Macaca mulatta: one gene and its partners. The protein of the gene in region 1 interacts with the protein of each later gene in a biochemical or structural test. Links are inferred from orthologs where the notes say so. Each region holds a gene or a part of one and is shown in the gene's direction. Other genes may lie near its edges.

What was found.
Region 2: the proteins of PLCG1 (region 1) and WAS form a complex in vitro, tested with the Homo sapiens proteins (2 studies listed by BioGRID). The link is inferred for Macaca mulatta from reciprocal best matches to the Homo sapiens genes PLCG1 and WAS.
Region 3: the proteins of PLCG1 (region 1) and EEF1A1 form a complex in vitro, tested with the Homo sapiens proteins (2 studies listed by BioGRID, with this or other methods). The link is inferred for Macaca mulatta from reciprocal best matches to the Homo sapiens genes PLCG1 and EEF1A1.

The regions. Positions count from the first base shown.
Region 1 is NC_133415.1:94,025,340-94,028,839, forward strand, and holds part of PLCG1 (1-phosphatidylinositol 4,5-bisphosphate phosphodiesterase gamma-1), read left to right. Parts: intron 1-1,684; coding exon 1,685-1,769; intron 1,770-1,874; coding exon 1,875-1,958; intron 1,959-2,191; coding exon 2,192-2,226; intron 2,227-2,436; coding exon 2,437-2,509; intron 2,510-2,612; coding exon 2,613-2,714; intron 2,715-2,949; coding exon 2,950-3,068; intron 3,069-3,150; coding exon 3,151-3,236; intron 3,237-3,310; coding exon 3,311-3,431; intron 3,432-3,500. UniProt on the Homo sapiens protein: Mediates the production of the second messenger molecules diacylglycerol (DAG) and inositol 1,4,5-trisphosphate (IP3). Plays an important role in the regulation of intracellular signaling cascades.
Region 2 is NC_133426.1:48,758,675-48,762,806, forward strand, and holds the start of WAS (actin nucleation-promoting factor WAS), read left to right. Parts: upstream 1-1,332; 5' UTR 1,333-1,388; coding exon 1,389-1,520; intron 1,521-1,817; coding exon 1,818-1,958; intron 1,959-3,084; coding exon 3,085-3,171; intron 3,172-3,272; coding exon 3,273-3,375; intron 3,376-3,488; coding exon 3,489-3,530; intron 3,531-3,623; coding exon 3,624-3,677; intron 3,678-4,132. UniProt on the Homo sapiens protein: Effector protein for Rho-type GTPases that regulates actin filament reorganization via its interaction with the Arp2/3 complex. Important for efficient actin polymerization. Possible regulator of lymphocyte and platelet function.
Region 3 is NC_133409.1:112,151,325-112,155,358, forward strand, and holds the start of EEF1A1 (elongation factor 1-alpha 1), read left to right. Parts: upstream 1-1,234; 5' UTR 1,235-1,247; exon of another isoform or gene 1,248-1,885; intron 1,886-2,193; 5' UTR 2,194-2,223; coding exon 2,224-2,367; intron 2,368-2,721; coding exon 2,722-2,901; intron 2,902-3,021; coding exon 3,022-3,318; intron 3,319-3,401; coding exon 3,402-3,552; intron 3,553-3,639; coding exon 3,640-3,896; intron 3,897-3,993; coding exon 3,994-4,034. UniProt on the Homo sapiens protein: Translation elongation factor that catalyzes the GTP-dependent binding of aminoacyl-tRNA (aa-tRNA) to the A-site of ribosomes during the elongation phase of protein synthesis.

The DNA.
Region 1 (3,500 bases):
TTTTGGCCATGTTGTATTTTGAAGATAGAGCCAGAAAGAATGTCCTTAACAGATTGATTTTGGGGTTTGAGAGGCATTGAGGATAATAGTATGCTCTTTGGCTCGAACAACTGGAAAACAGAGTCGCCATTGACTGAGATGAGAAGATCATGGGACGAGCCCATTTGGAGGGAAGCTCAGGGGTTCACTTTGAGGCGTGTTAAGTTTTCTGATGCCTGTTAGCTGTTCAGGGAGAGCTGTTGAGTAGGCAGGTGGTTAGACTGAGTTTAGGTACATACACAGTGGGGGCTGCAGATTTTAACTTGGGAGTATGTAGATAACACTGAAAGCCACAGGGCTGGGTGAGATCACCTAGGGGGCAAGCAGACCAAGAAAAGGGCAGGGTCCAGTGGCTGACCTCAGACCACCCCCATATTAGAGATTGGAGGGGTTGGGGACAAACAGTGCGGTAAGAGGAGAACCCCCAGAGTGCTGAGTTCTGGCAGCCCAAGGAAGAAGACAGTGGTGAAATCTGACCATTGACCCTTGGATTTAACATGGTGAGAAGAGCGGTGTCAGCCAAGTGGTGAGGGGCTCACGGGAATGAGAGGGAGCAATATGACTCTTGCAAGGAGTTTTGCGGTGGCGGGGAGCAAAGAAGAGGGCAAGTACTTGGAGAGCTAAGCAGGGGCAAGACACGTGTTTTTGGTGGAAGAAGTAACAGGCTGTTCGTATGCTGATGGGAAAGAGACCACAGAGGGCAAGGTTGGTGATGCAGGCAGTTGCAACCAGAAGGCCTCTGTTTCCTCACTGGAAAACGAGGACCCTGATAGCACCTACCTCCTGGGTGACTGAGGATCAGAGGAGGTGGCACCTGTACAGAGCCAGCCCTCCCTCTGCAGCGCTTGATCCACTCAGTGTGGCGCTCAGCCCCCTTGGGGAATTTTGGTGCCTCCTCCCAGGCCCTTGGGGCTCAGAGGAGGTGACCCCACCCTCCCCTCCCCTCCTTGACACCACCTTCCAGGAGAGAAAGCCCCCCTTCCCCCTTCTCGTCCATCCTGTTGCCAGGTCCAGCAGTGTCCCCAGCCTCACATCATGGGCAGGACACCCCTGGAGAGCAGGGGCCTTGTTCTCTGAGCTTCTTTCCTGGAGCCAGGCCCTGTCTAGCCCCAGGAGGTGCCCAGTTGCCAGTCATTGTATCTGGTGGAGCATGCACCTCCTCCTCCCTCCCCTTCATGGGTTAGTGGGTTCTGAGGACCAAACTCCCAGCATCCCAGTGGGCAGCAGGTAGGGACCCGCTGCCGTGCTGCCCCCAGCAGGGAAGTTGTGAGTGAGCCCTGCCTTCTGTCTTGGATGGGCTCACTGCCACCTTGGCACAGGCCTGAGCAGTGCCGGTGGGAGGGGAGGCCTGGAGAGTGGTTTTTCTTCCTCCCATGCCTGACCCACTTTACTGAATCTGTTCACATCTTCCTTGCCAGAATTACAGGCTTTTTTTTTTTTTTTTTGCTCAGATGAGGAACTGAGGTCCAAAGAAAGGAAGGGACTAACCTTGGTCACCCCATGGGTTCTGATCCAGTCTCGCCCTCAGGACTCCAGGTTCCCAGAATAGTGTTGTTTACCTGTCCAGCCCCAGGTGGGCTCGACCCACAGGTCAGAGGTCATAAGAAGCTGGATGAGACCACTGGGGATGTCCCTGTTTTCTCAGTATATCAGCCAAGGACCTAAAGAACATGCTGTCCCAGGTCAACTACCGGGTCCCCAACATGCGCTTCCTCCGAGAGCGGCTAACGGTAAGTGCCCCCCAGGGCTGTCTGTAGTTGGGGGCAGGGGAAGCCAAGAGCCCTGCAGCTGGGGCCCTGACTGCCTGACTGGCACTCCCGCTCTATACCATGCAGGACCTGGAGCAGCGCAGCGGGGACATCACCTACGGGCAGTTTGCTCAGCTGTACCGCAGCCTCATGTACAGCGCCCAGAAGACGGTGCATGAGCCACCTGCCCTCCCTCAACCCCTGCCCCTGCTCCTCCACCCCACCCCCCAGCTCTGCCTGCCTCAGCCCTGCTGCCCTGCTTAGGGGCTTTTGGGTGCCATTTCTCCAGTTCTTCTCCTCTTGAGGCCTACCCGCATCTGCTGCTCTAGCCTGTCTTCTTACTAGCCCCTTTCCCACATGGCCTCCCAGGGGCTCTTGCCCTGACCAGGTTCTGTTTCCTGCAGATGGACCTCCCCTTCTTGGAAGCCAGTACTCTGAGGTTTGGTTTGGAGTGGGGAGGTGGGGTTTTCCCTGGGCCCCCTTCATCTCACCACTGGGCGATTCCTGATCCAGGTGGGAGGCAGTGGGAGTAGGGAACCATGCTGGACCATTCTGGGAAGCTGTGCTGGCTGGGAGTTGGGTTCTGCCTTCCATGGGGCACCTTGTTGTCTGTTGACCATGCTAGCTAGCTTACCTTCTCTCCCTGCAGGGCTGGGGAGCGGCCGGAGCTTTGCCGAGTGTCCCTTCCTGAGTTCCAGCAGTTCCTTCTTGACTACCAGGGGGTATGGCTGGGCTGACATTGGCCCAGGCTGTCAGGTTGTTGGGGGGCTGGGCTCATCAATGACTGGAGGCTTCTCTCATTCCCTGCCCTCCCCACCCCATCAGGAGCTGTGGGCTGTTGATCGCCTCCAGGTGCAGGAGTTCATGCTCAGCTTCCTCCGAGACCCCTTGCGAGAGATCGAGGAGCCATACTTCTTCCTGGATGAGGTGAGTCCGACGTTTCACCCATTTTTTGTCAAGAGAATGGGTAGGGGTGACCAGAACCCCACCTGGGCTTCAGGAGCTAGACGCTTCTTAGGGATGCCACCTTGTTCCTACCTGCTATGCATCTTGCCCACCCCCAGTTGGGACAGAGCACTCTCTCTCCTACCCCCAACCTACCATCTTGGGTTGGACCGGGCAGGGACTCACTTTCTCTTCCCTTCCACATGTTCCTGGACAGTTTGTCACCTTCCTGTTCTCCAAAGAGAATAGTGTGTGGAACTCACAGCTGGATGCAGTATGCCCGGACACCATGAACAACCCCCTTTCCCACTATTGGATCTCCTCCTCACACAACACGTGAGTGTGGCTCCTTCGGGCCCACCCAGCTTCTTCCCAGGAGGGCCTATCTGACCATACATGCCTCTCCTTGCCTATCCAGGTACCTGACCGGGGACCAGTTCTCCAGTGAGTCCTCCTTGGAAGCCTATGCTCGCTGCCTGCGGATGGGCTGTCGCTGCATTGAGTGTGCGTGGGGTCCGGGGCTGGGGGAGGGAAGATGGGAGGCCTGCCTGCTTGACCATGATGATGTTGCTCCCCAGTGGACTGCTGGGACGGCCCAGATGGGATGCCAGTTATTTACCATGGGCACACCCTTACCACCAAGATCAAGTTCTCAGATGTCCTGCAAACCATCAAGGAGCATGCCTTTGTGGCCTCAGAGTGAGTCAGAGGCTGGAGGACCCAGGGGTTAACTTGGCTCCAGCTCTCTCATTCTAGAGGGACAGAGGG
Region 2 (4,132 bases), on another chromosome or scaffold:
GGGGAGAAAGCAAGCCTTTGAAGATTATGTGCTTTTACAAACTTCAAGTGCAATGAAAATTAAACAAGATGTTGTTCAGGCATTCATATATGATATAAAGTTCCTTTTTTTTTTTTAAAGGGATGTGCTGGGCACGGTGGCTTATGCCTGTAATCCCAGCACTTTGGGAGGCCAAGGAGGGCGGATCATGAGGTCAAGAAATCGAGACCATCCTGGCCAACATGGTGAAACCCTGTCTCTACTAAAACTACAAAAAAGTTAGCTGGGCGTGGTGGCGCGGGCCTGTAGTCCCAGTTACTCAGGAGGCTGAGGCAGGAGAATCACTTGAACCTGGGAGGCTGAGGTTGCAGTGAGCTGAGATCGCGCCAGTGCACTCTAGCCTGGCGACAGAGTGAGACTCCATCTCAAAAAAAAAAAAAAAAAAAAAAAAAAGATGAGCAGAAAGTAATTTGGGAGCTGCAGGGAGGCAAGGGTAAGGGATGGGGAAGTGAACCAGAGGCATATGCGTCATTGGCAGTGTCTAAGCACTCAGGATAGGCGTGGATCACAGGGGCTCACTCTGTAATTAAAAGGAAAAGGGTTTTTGTTGTTGTGTTGTTGCTGTTGTTGTTGCTGTTTTTGAGACAAGAGTCTTGCTCTGTCATCATCCAGGCTGGAGTGCAGTGGTGCAATCTCAGCTCACTGCAACCTCCGCTTCCCGGGTTCAAGCGATTCTCCTACCTCAGCCTCCTGAGCAGCTAGGACTACAGGTGCATGCCGCCATGCCTGGCTCATTTTTGTATTTTTTAGTGGAAATGGGGTTTTGCCATGTTGCCCAGACTGGTCTCGAACTCCTGACCTCAAGTGATCCGCTCGCCTTGGCCTCCCAAAGTGCTGGGATTACAGGTGTGAGCTACTGTCCCCAGCGAAAAGGAAAAGTTTTAGTGTAGTAACCCTTCAGGACTAGGGGCCTTGGGCTTCAGCCTCAGGCTACCTGGGTGCTTTAGGAAGGAGGCCACCCAGGCCCATGACTACTCCTTGCCACAGGGTGCCCTGCACACAGATGTGCTGCCAATGGCTAAGCTCTCACTGCCAGCCAGAGGGAAGAGGGTCTGAGCCAGTCAGAAGGAGATGGGCCTCAGACAGTAAGAAAGGAGGAGGAGGACCCAAGCTGATCCAAAAGATGGGTCTAAGCAGTCAAGTGGAGGAGGGTTCCAATCTGATGGTAGAGGGCCCAAGCTCGGCCTAACGAGGAGGAGGCCAGGCCCACCAAGGGGCCCCTGGAGGACTTGTTTCCCTTGTCCCTTGTGGTTTTTTGCACTTCCTGTTCCCTTGCTGCTCACTGCGGAAGTTCCTCTTCTTACCCTGCACCCAGAGCCTCGCCAGAGAAGACGAGGGCAGAAAGCACCATGAGTGGGGGCCCAATGGGAGGAAGGCCTGGGGGCCGGGGAGCACCAGCGGTTCAACAGAACATACCCTCCACCCTCCTCCAGGACCACGAGAACCAGCGACTCTTCGAGATGCTTGGACGAAAATGCTTGGTGAGCTGGGGATCTCCTGCCCCCGCCCCGTCCCCACCATTTCTTCCTCTTCCTCTCCTCCTTCTCTCTCTTCCCCTCCTCCCGCTCCTCCTTTCCCTCTCCATCATCTTCTCTCCTAGACTCTCCTGTTATCATCCACCCTCCCCAGGAAGATCTCAATGTCTACTTGCCTTCCCTCTGGCTGCAGCTCTTCCTTCGGGCCCATGACTGTCATGAGGCAGGAAGGACCAGGTCTGGCTCCAAGACCTTGTGGCTACCCCTGACCAGACTCCACTGACCCCTGCTTTCCCCTCCCAGACGCTGGCCACTGCAGTTGTTCAGCTGTACCTGGCACTGCCCCCTGGAGCTGAGCACTGGACCAAGGAGCATTGTGGGGCTGTGTGCTTCGTGAAGGATAACCCCCAGAAGTCCTACTTCATTCGCCTTTACGGCCTTCAGGTGACCCCCCCCCCGCCCCTGACTGGACTTGCAAGCCAGTTCTCAACCCGCAAACCCAGATCTGTGTCCATATGTGTCCACAGTCCCAAGACCTCAGACCTGATCAGTGAATCCCTGAGCCCCAGAACCAAAGACTCATCCAGATGGCAAACTCTGGCTTGCCTTTCTAAGTCTGCAATGGCTGGCCCCAGTCTCCATATCAAGATCTCTAAAGCCCCCAGTATTAGTCTGCTGCCTAAGCCTAATCTTTTCCACAAATTCCAATAAATGAGCACTGTATTTGTACCTGAACCTCAAATCTATTCTAAACTCAACATTTTGCATCCCAGGAATCTCTCATCAAAACTCCTGAACCCCAGATGTTTGCCAAGCTCCTAAGTCATAAATCTGTTCAACAAACCCCAAAGTTGAATATTCCATTGATCCTTGAACTCCAATTCTGTCCTTTTAAATCCACAGCACAGACCCCAGAATTCCCATATTAAAATTCCTGAACACTCAAATACCGAGGTGGTTCTTAAGCAAAAAGTCTTTTCCACAATTCCCCGACCTGAACTTTCTAGGTTTAAGCCCCAAATTCATCCTTCTAAACCCATAAAGATGGACCCAGCATAACTTCCAGATCCCAAGACTGTCAAATATTCACCAAACTCCTAAGTCATAACTCTTCTCCACAAACCCCAAATTGCACTTACTTTAGCTGGACCCTCCGCAAAACTCCCAAGTCTACGTGTCTGAACTTCAAATCTCATCTCCAACTCCCAAATACTAGAATCCTACCTGTCATGAATTGGGGCTGGGGTGGCAGGGGAGGGCATGGATTGAATCTATGAATGAGCCTCAACTTCCTAAGACTAGAGTCCTAAATTATGAAATTCAAGCTCCCAAGTCCCACATCTAGGGCCCCGAACCCCAAATCCAAACCTCTCACAAAAGTGTATGGCTCCCAGACTATACTCCACATCCACACCCTTAGATCTCAGCTCTCTGGTGCTGAGCTGGAAATCTCCAAACCAGACCATGAGGCCCCCAAATCCAGACACCCTGCTCCCTGCCCAGCTAACAAAGGCCTGCCACCCCTGGTGTGCCTCAGTGCCACTGTGCCTCCCACCCTACACCTCTCCAGGCTGGTCGGCTGCTCTGGGAACAGGAGCTGTACTCACAGCTTGTCTACTCCACCCCCACCCCCTTCTTCCACACCTTCGCTGGAGATGTAAGTGACCAACCAGCCCTCGGGCCTCACTTGGGGTGTGGAGAGGAGATGGGAAAGCTGTGGGGGGACCTGGGAGGCGGCTGACCCCAAGATATGTGCAGGACTGCCAAGCGGGGCTGAACTTTGCAGACGAGGGCGAGGCCCAGGCCTTCCGGGCCCTGGTGCAGGAGAAGATACAAAAAAGGAATCAGAGGCAAAGTGGAGGTGAGGAGGCCGCAGGGGAGGAAAGGAAGTTGGGCAGAGGTGAGTGCAAGCATGGGGAACTAGAAAAGTTATCTCTCATGGTCCTGGCTCCCAATCCATCTGTCTATCCACAGACAGACGCCAGCTACTCCCACCACCACCACCAGCCAATGAAGGTGAGAACTCTAGTGCAAGTAGCGGTAATAAGGGGCTAGCCCAGGAACCTGTGGCAGGGTTGTGATAGCTCTCTACACATTCTATCTTCCCAGAGAGAAGAGGAGGGCTTCCACCCCTGCCCCCGCACCCAGGTGGAGACCAAGGAGGTGCGTGCTGATTCTTCCCTGTGTCTCTGGATGGATGGGTGGGTAGGTGGAAGAGTGAATGGAGGAATGAGCAGTTGGATGGGTGCGTAAGTGGGTGAATGTATGGGTAGATGGATGGGTATGTGGATGGACGAGCGGGTGCATGGATGTGTGGATCGATGGATGGGTGGATGGATTGGTGGTAGATGGCTGAGTGGAGGGATGAGTTGATGGGAGGATAAAACTCTAAGTAGATAGATGCATAGGTGAATGGGTATGTGGATAAATGAATGAAAAGGTAGATGGATGACTGAGTAAATTAGTGAATGAGTGAATGAATGAACAGTGAATAAACGGCTAAATGACAAATTTCAGTCAGTGAAGAAAGCATGATTGAATGAATACAAGAGTAAATGAAAATTTTAACAAATCCATTAGTCAATGAGCCAGTGAATGATAAAGCATGAGGGAATGAA
Region 3 (4,034 bases), on another chromosome or scaffold:
CTAGATTTATGCTAAAATGCAGTTACAATCTATAGGATGACAGAAAAAGAAAGCACTTATTTAAATATAATAGGCACTTATTTAAATAGGAGAAGCTGTGACTTCATAGCAAGTGTTGGGGTTAGGAAACTGGGTGGATAAACTTGCTGATGCTGTAGATCTTAGTCTCTACATGAGATCACGTGGAAAATCTGAATTTGAAAGCTTTTTAGCTTCCTTATGTTTGCAATCAAATGACTGTACACCTTTTAATTTAAAAAGTACCATGAGGCACACACACACTCGCAGGAACTTTTTGGCGTAACAAAACTAGAATTAGATCTAAAGCTAACTGTAGGACTGAGTCTATTCTAAACTGAAAGCCTGGACATCTGGAGTACCAGGGGGAGATGACGTGTTACGGGCTTTGATAAAAGCAGCTGGCTTTGAATGGAAGGAGCCAAGAGGCCAGCACAGGAGCGGATTCGTCGAGCTCACGGCCATCGAGCCGAACCTCTCGCAGGTCCGTGAGCCGTTAAGGAGTCCTCCAGTCCAGACCCTTCGCCCCAAGCCCCTCGGGGTCCCCGGGCCTGGTACTCCTTGCCACGCGGGAGGGGCGCGGAAGCCGGGGCGGAGGAGGAGCCAACCCGGGGCTGGGCTGAGACCGGCAGAAGACGACGCTCTAGGGATTTGTCACGGACTAGCGAGATAGCAAGGCTGAGGACAGGAGGCTGATTGGGGGGCGAAGGTACACCCTAATCTCAACACAACCTTTGGGGCTAAGCTAGCAATGGTAGAGGAAAGATTCTGGACGTCCCTTCCAGGCCGCCACCTCGTCGCCTCCCCCTCCCCCTCCTCTTCCCCCCCCGCCCCGGCCGGAGCTGAGAGTAATTCATACAAAAGGACTCGCCCCTGCCTTGGGGAATCCCAGGGACCGTCGTTAAACTCCCACTAACCTAGAACCCAGAGATCGCTGCGTTCCCGCCCCCTCACACGCCCGCTCTCGTCATCACCAAGGTGGAGAAGAGCATGCGTGAGGCTCCGGTGCCCGTCAGTGGGCAGAGCGCACATCGCCCACAGTCCCCGAGAAGTTGGGGGGAGGGGTCGGCAATTGAACCGGTGCCTAGAGAAGGTGGCGCGGGGTAAACTGGGAAAGTGATGTCGTGTACTGGCTCCGCCCTTTTCCCGAGGGTGGGGGAGAACCGTATATAAGTGCAGTAGTCGCTGTGAACGTTCTTTTTCGCAACGGGTTTGCCGCCAGAACACAGGTAAGTACTGTGTGTGGCTCCTGCGGGCCTGGCCTCTTTACGGGCTATGGCCCTCGCGTGCCTTTTATTACTTACACGCCCCTGGCCGCTGTACGTGATTCTTGATCCCGAGCTTCGGGTTGGAAGTGGGTGGGAGAGGTCGAGGCCTTGCACTTAAGGAGTCCCTTCGCCTCGTGCTTGAGTCGAGGCCTGGCTTGGGCTCTGGGGCTGCCGCGTGCGAATCTGGTAGCACCTTCGCGCCTGCCCCGCTGCTTTCACTAAGTTTCTAGCCATTTAAAATTTTTGATGACCAGCTGCAACGCCTTTTTCCTGGCGAGATAATCTTATAAATGCGGACCAGGATCTGCACACTGATATTGGGGTTTTGGGGGCCGCGGGCTGCGACGGGGCTCGTGCGTCCCAGCGCACATGTTCGGCGAGGCGGGGCCTGCGAGCGCGGCCACCGAGAGTCGGACGGGGGGAGTCTCAAGCTGGCCGTCCTGCTCTGGTGCCGGGCCTCGCGCGGCGGTGTGTCGCCCCGCCCTGGTCGGCAAGCCTGGCCCGGTCGGCACCAGTTGCGTGAGCGGAAAGATGGCCGCTTCCCGGCCCTGCCGCAGGGAGCTCAAAATGGAGGACGCGGCGCCCGGGAGAGCGGGCGGGTGAGTCACCCACACAAAGGAAAAGGGCCTTTCCCTCCTCGGTCGCCGCTTCATGTGACCCCACGGAGTACCGGGCGCCGTCCAGGCACCTCGATTAGTTCTCCGAGCTTTTGGAGTACGTCTTCCTTAGGTTTGGGGGAGGGGTTTTGTGCGGTGGAGTTTCCCCACACTTGGTGGGTGGAGACTGAAGAGTTAGGCCAGCTTGGCGCTCGATGTAATTCTCCTTGGAATTTGCCCTTTTCGAATTTGGATCTTGGCTTATTCTCAAGCTTCAGACAGTGGTTCAAAGTTTTTTTCTCCCATTTCAGGTGTCGTGAAAACTACCCCTAAAAGCCAAAATGGGAAAGGAAAAGACTCATATCAACATTGTCGTCATTGGACACGTAGATTCGGGCAAGTCCACCACTACTGGCCATCTGATCTACAAATGCGGTGGCATCGACAAAAGAACCATTGAAAAATTTGAGAAGGAGGCTGCTGAGGTATGGGAAAGATGAACTAAAATGAGTTTTACCAGCAGAATCATTAAGTGGTAGTGATTTCCCCAGAACTAGTGAGTGGTTTAGATCTGACCCTACTTATTAAAATAGTTTGCTTTTGGTTACTTCTGTAACCGTATTGCTAGTGAGTAGTTTCGATTTGGATATTAATAGTCAAGATCCTACTTTAAAAAGTTTGCTTTTTGGTTGCTTCTGTAACCCTATCTAAGTGACTAAAATTGCTTAGGACTTGCAGTTGTAAAGTGGAAACTATGTGCCAATTAAGGGCTGGGGGCAAAGAAATTGAAGCTGGAGTTTGTGTGTTAGTAACCAAGTAACAACTCTTAATCCTTACAGATGGGAAAGGGCTCCTTCAAGTATGCCTGGGTCTTGGATAAACTGAAAGCTGAGCGGGAACGTGGTATCACCATTGATATCTCCTTGTGGAAATTTGAGACCAGCAAGTATTATGTGACTATCATTGATGCCCCAGGACACAGAGACTTCATCAAAAACATGATTACAGGGACATCTCAGGTTGGTGGGATTAATAATTCTAGGTTGTTTTTTTTTTTTTTTTTCCCTGAAATGCCTGTCTTGTGCATTGGTTTTGTCCTTTGGAGAGTTGACAGGGATATGTCTTTGCTTTCTTTAAAGGCTGACTGTGCTGTCCTGATTGTTGCTGCTGGTGTTGGTGAATTTGAAGCTGGTATCTCCAAGAATGGGCAGACCCGAGAGCATGCTCTTCTGGCTTACACACTGGGTGTGAAACAACTAATTGTTGGTGTTAACAAAATGGATTCCACTGAGCCACCCTACAGCCAGAAGAGATACGAGGAAATTGTTAAGGAAGTCAGCACTTACATTAAGAAAATTGGCTACAACCCCGACACAGTAGCATTTGTGCCAATTTCTGGTTGGAATGGTGACAACATGCTGGAGCCAAGTGCTAACGTAAGTGGCTTTCAAGACCGTTGTTAAAAAGCTCTGGGAATGGCGATTTCATGCTTACACAAATTGGCATGGTTGTGTTTCAGATGCCTTGGTTCAAGGGATGGAAGGTCACCCGTAAGGATGGCAATGCCAGTGGAACCACGCTGCTTGAGGCTCTGGACTGCATCCTACCACCAACTCGTCCAACTGACAAGCCCTTGCGCCTGCCTCTCCAGGATGTCTACAAAATTGGTGGTAAGTTGGGTGTCAACAAAGTTGAATTTGAGTTGGTAGAGTACTATCTTCCTTCATAGGTATTTAGTATGCTGTAAATATTTTTAGGTATTGGTACTGTTCCTGTTGGCCGAGTGGAGACTGGTGTTCTCAAACCCGGTATGGTGGTCACCTTTGCTCCAGTCAACGTTACAACTGAAGTAAAATCTGTCGAAATGCACCATGAAGCTTTGAGTGAAGCTCTTCCTGGGGACAATGTGGGCTTCAATGTCAAGAATGTGTCTGTCAAGGATGTTCGTCGTGGCAACGTTGCTGGTGACAGCAAAAACGACCCACCAATGGAAGCAGCTGGCTTCACTGCTCAGGTAACAATTTTTAAAGTAACATGTTCCTACCTTATTGCAGAGGCTAAAGTCATTTGAGACTTTGGATTTACACTGAACGCAAATCTTTTTTTCCAAGGTGATTATCCTGAACCATCCAGGCCAAATAAGTGCTGGCTA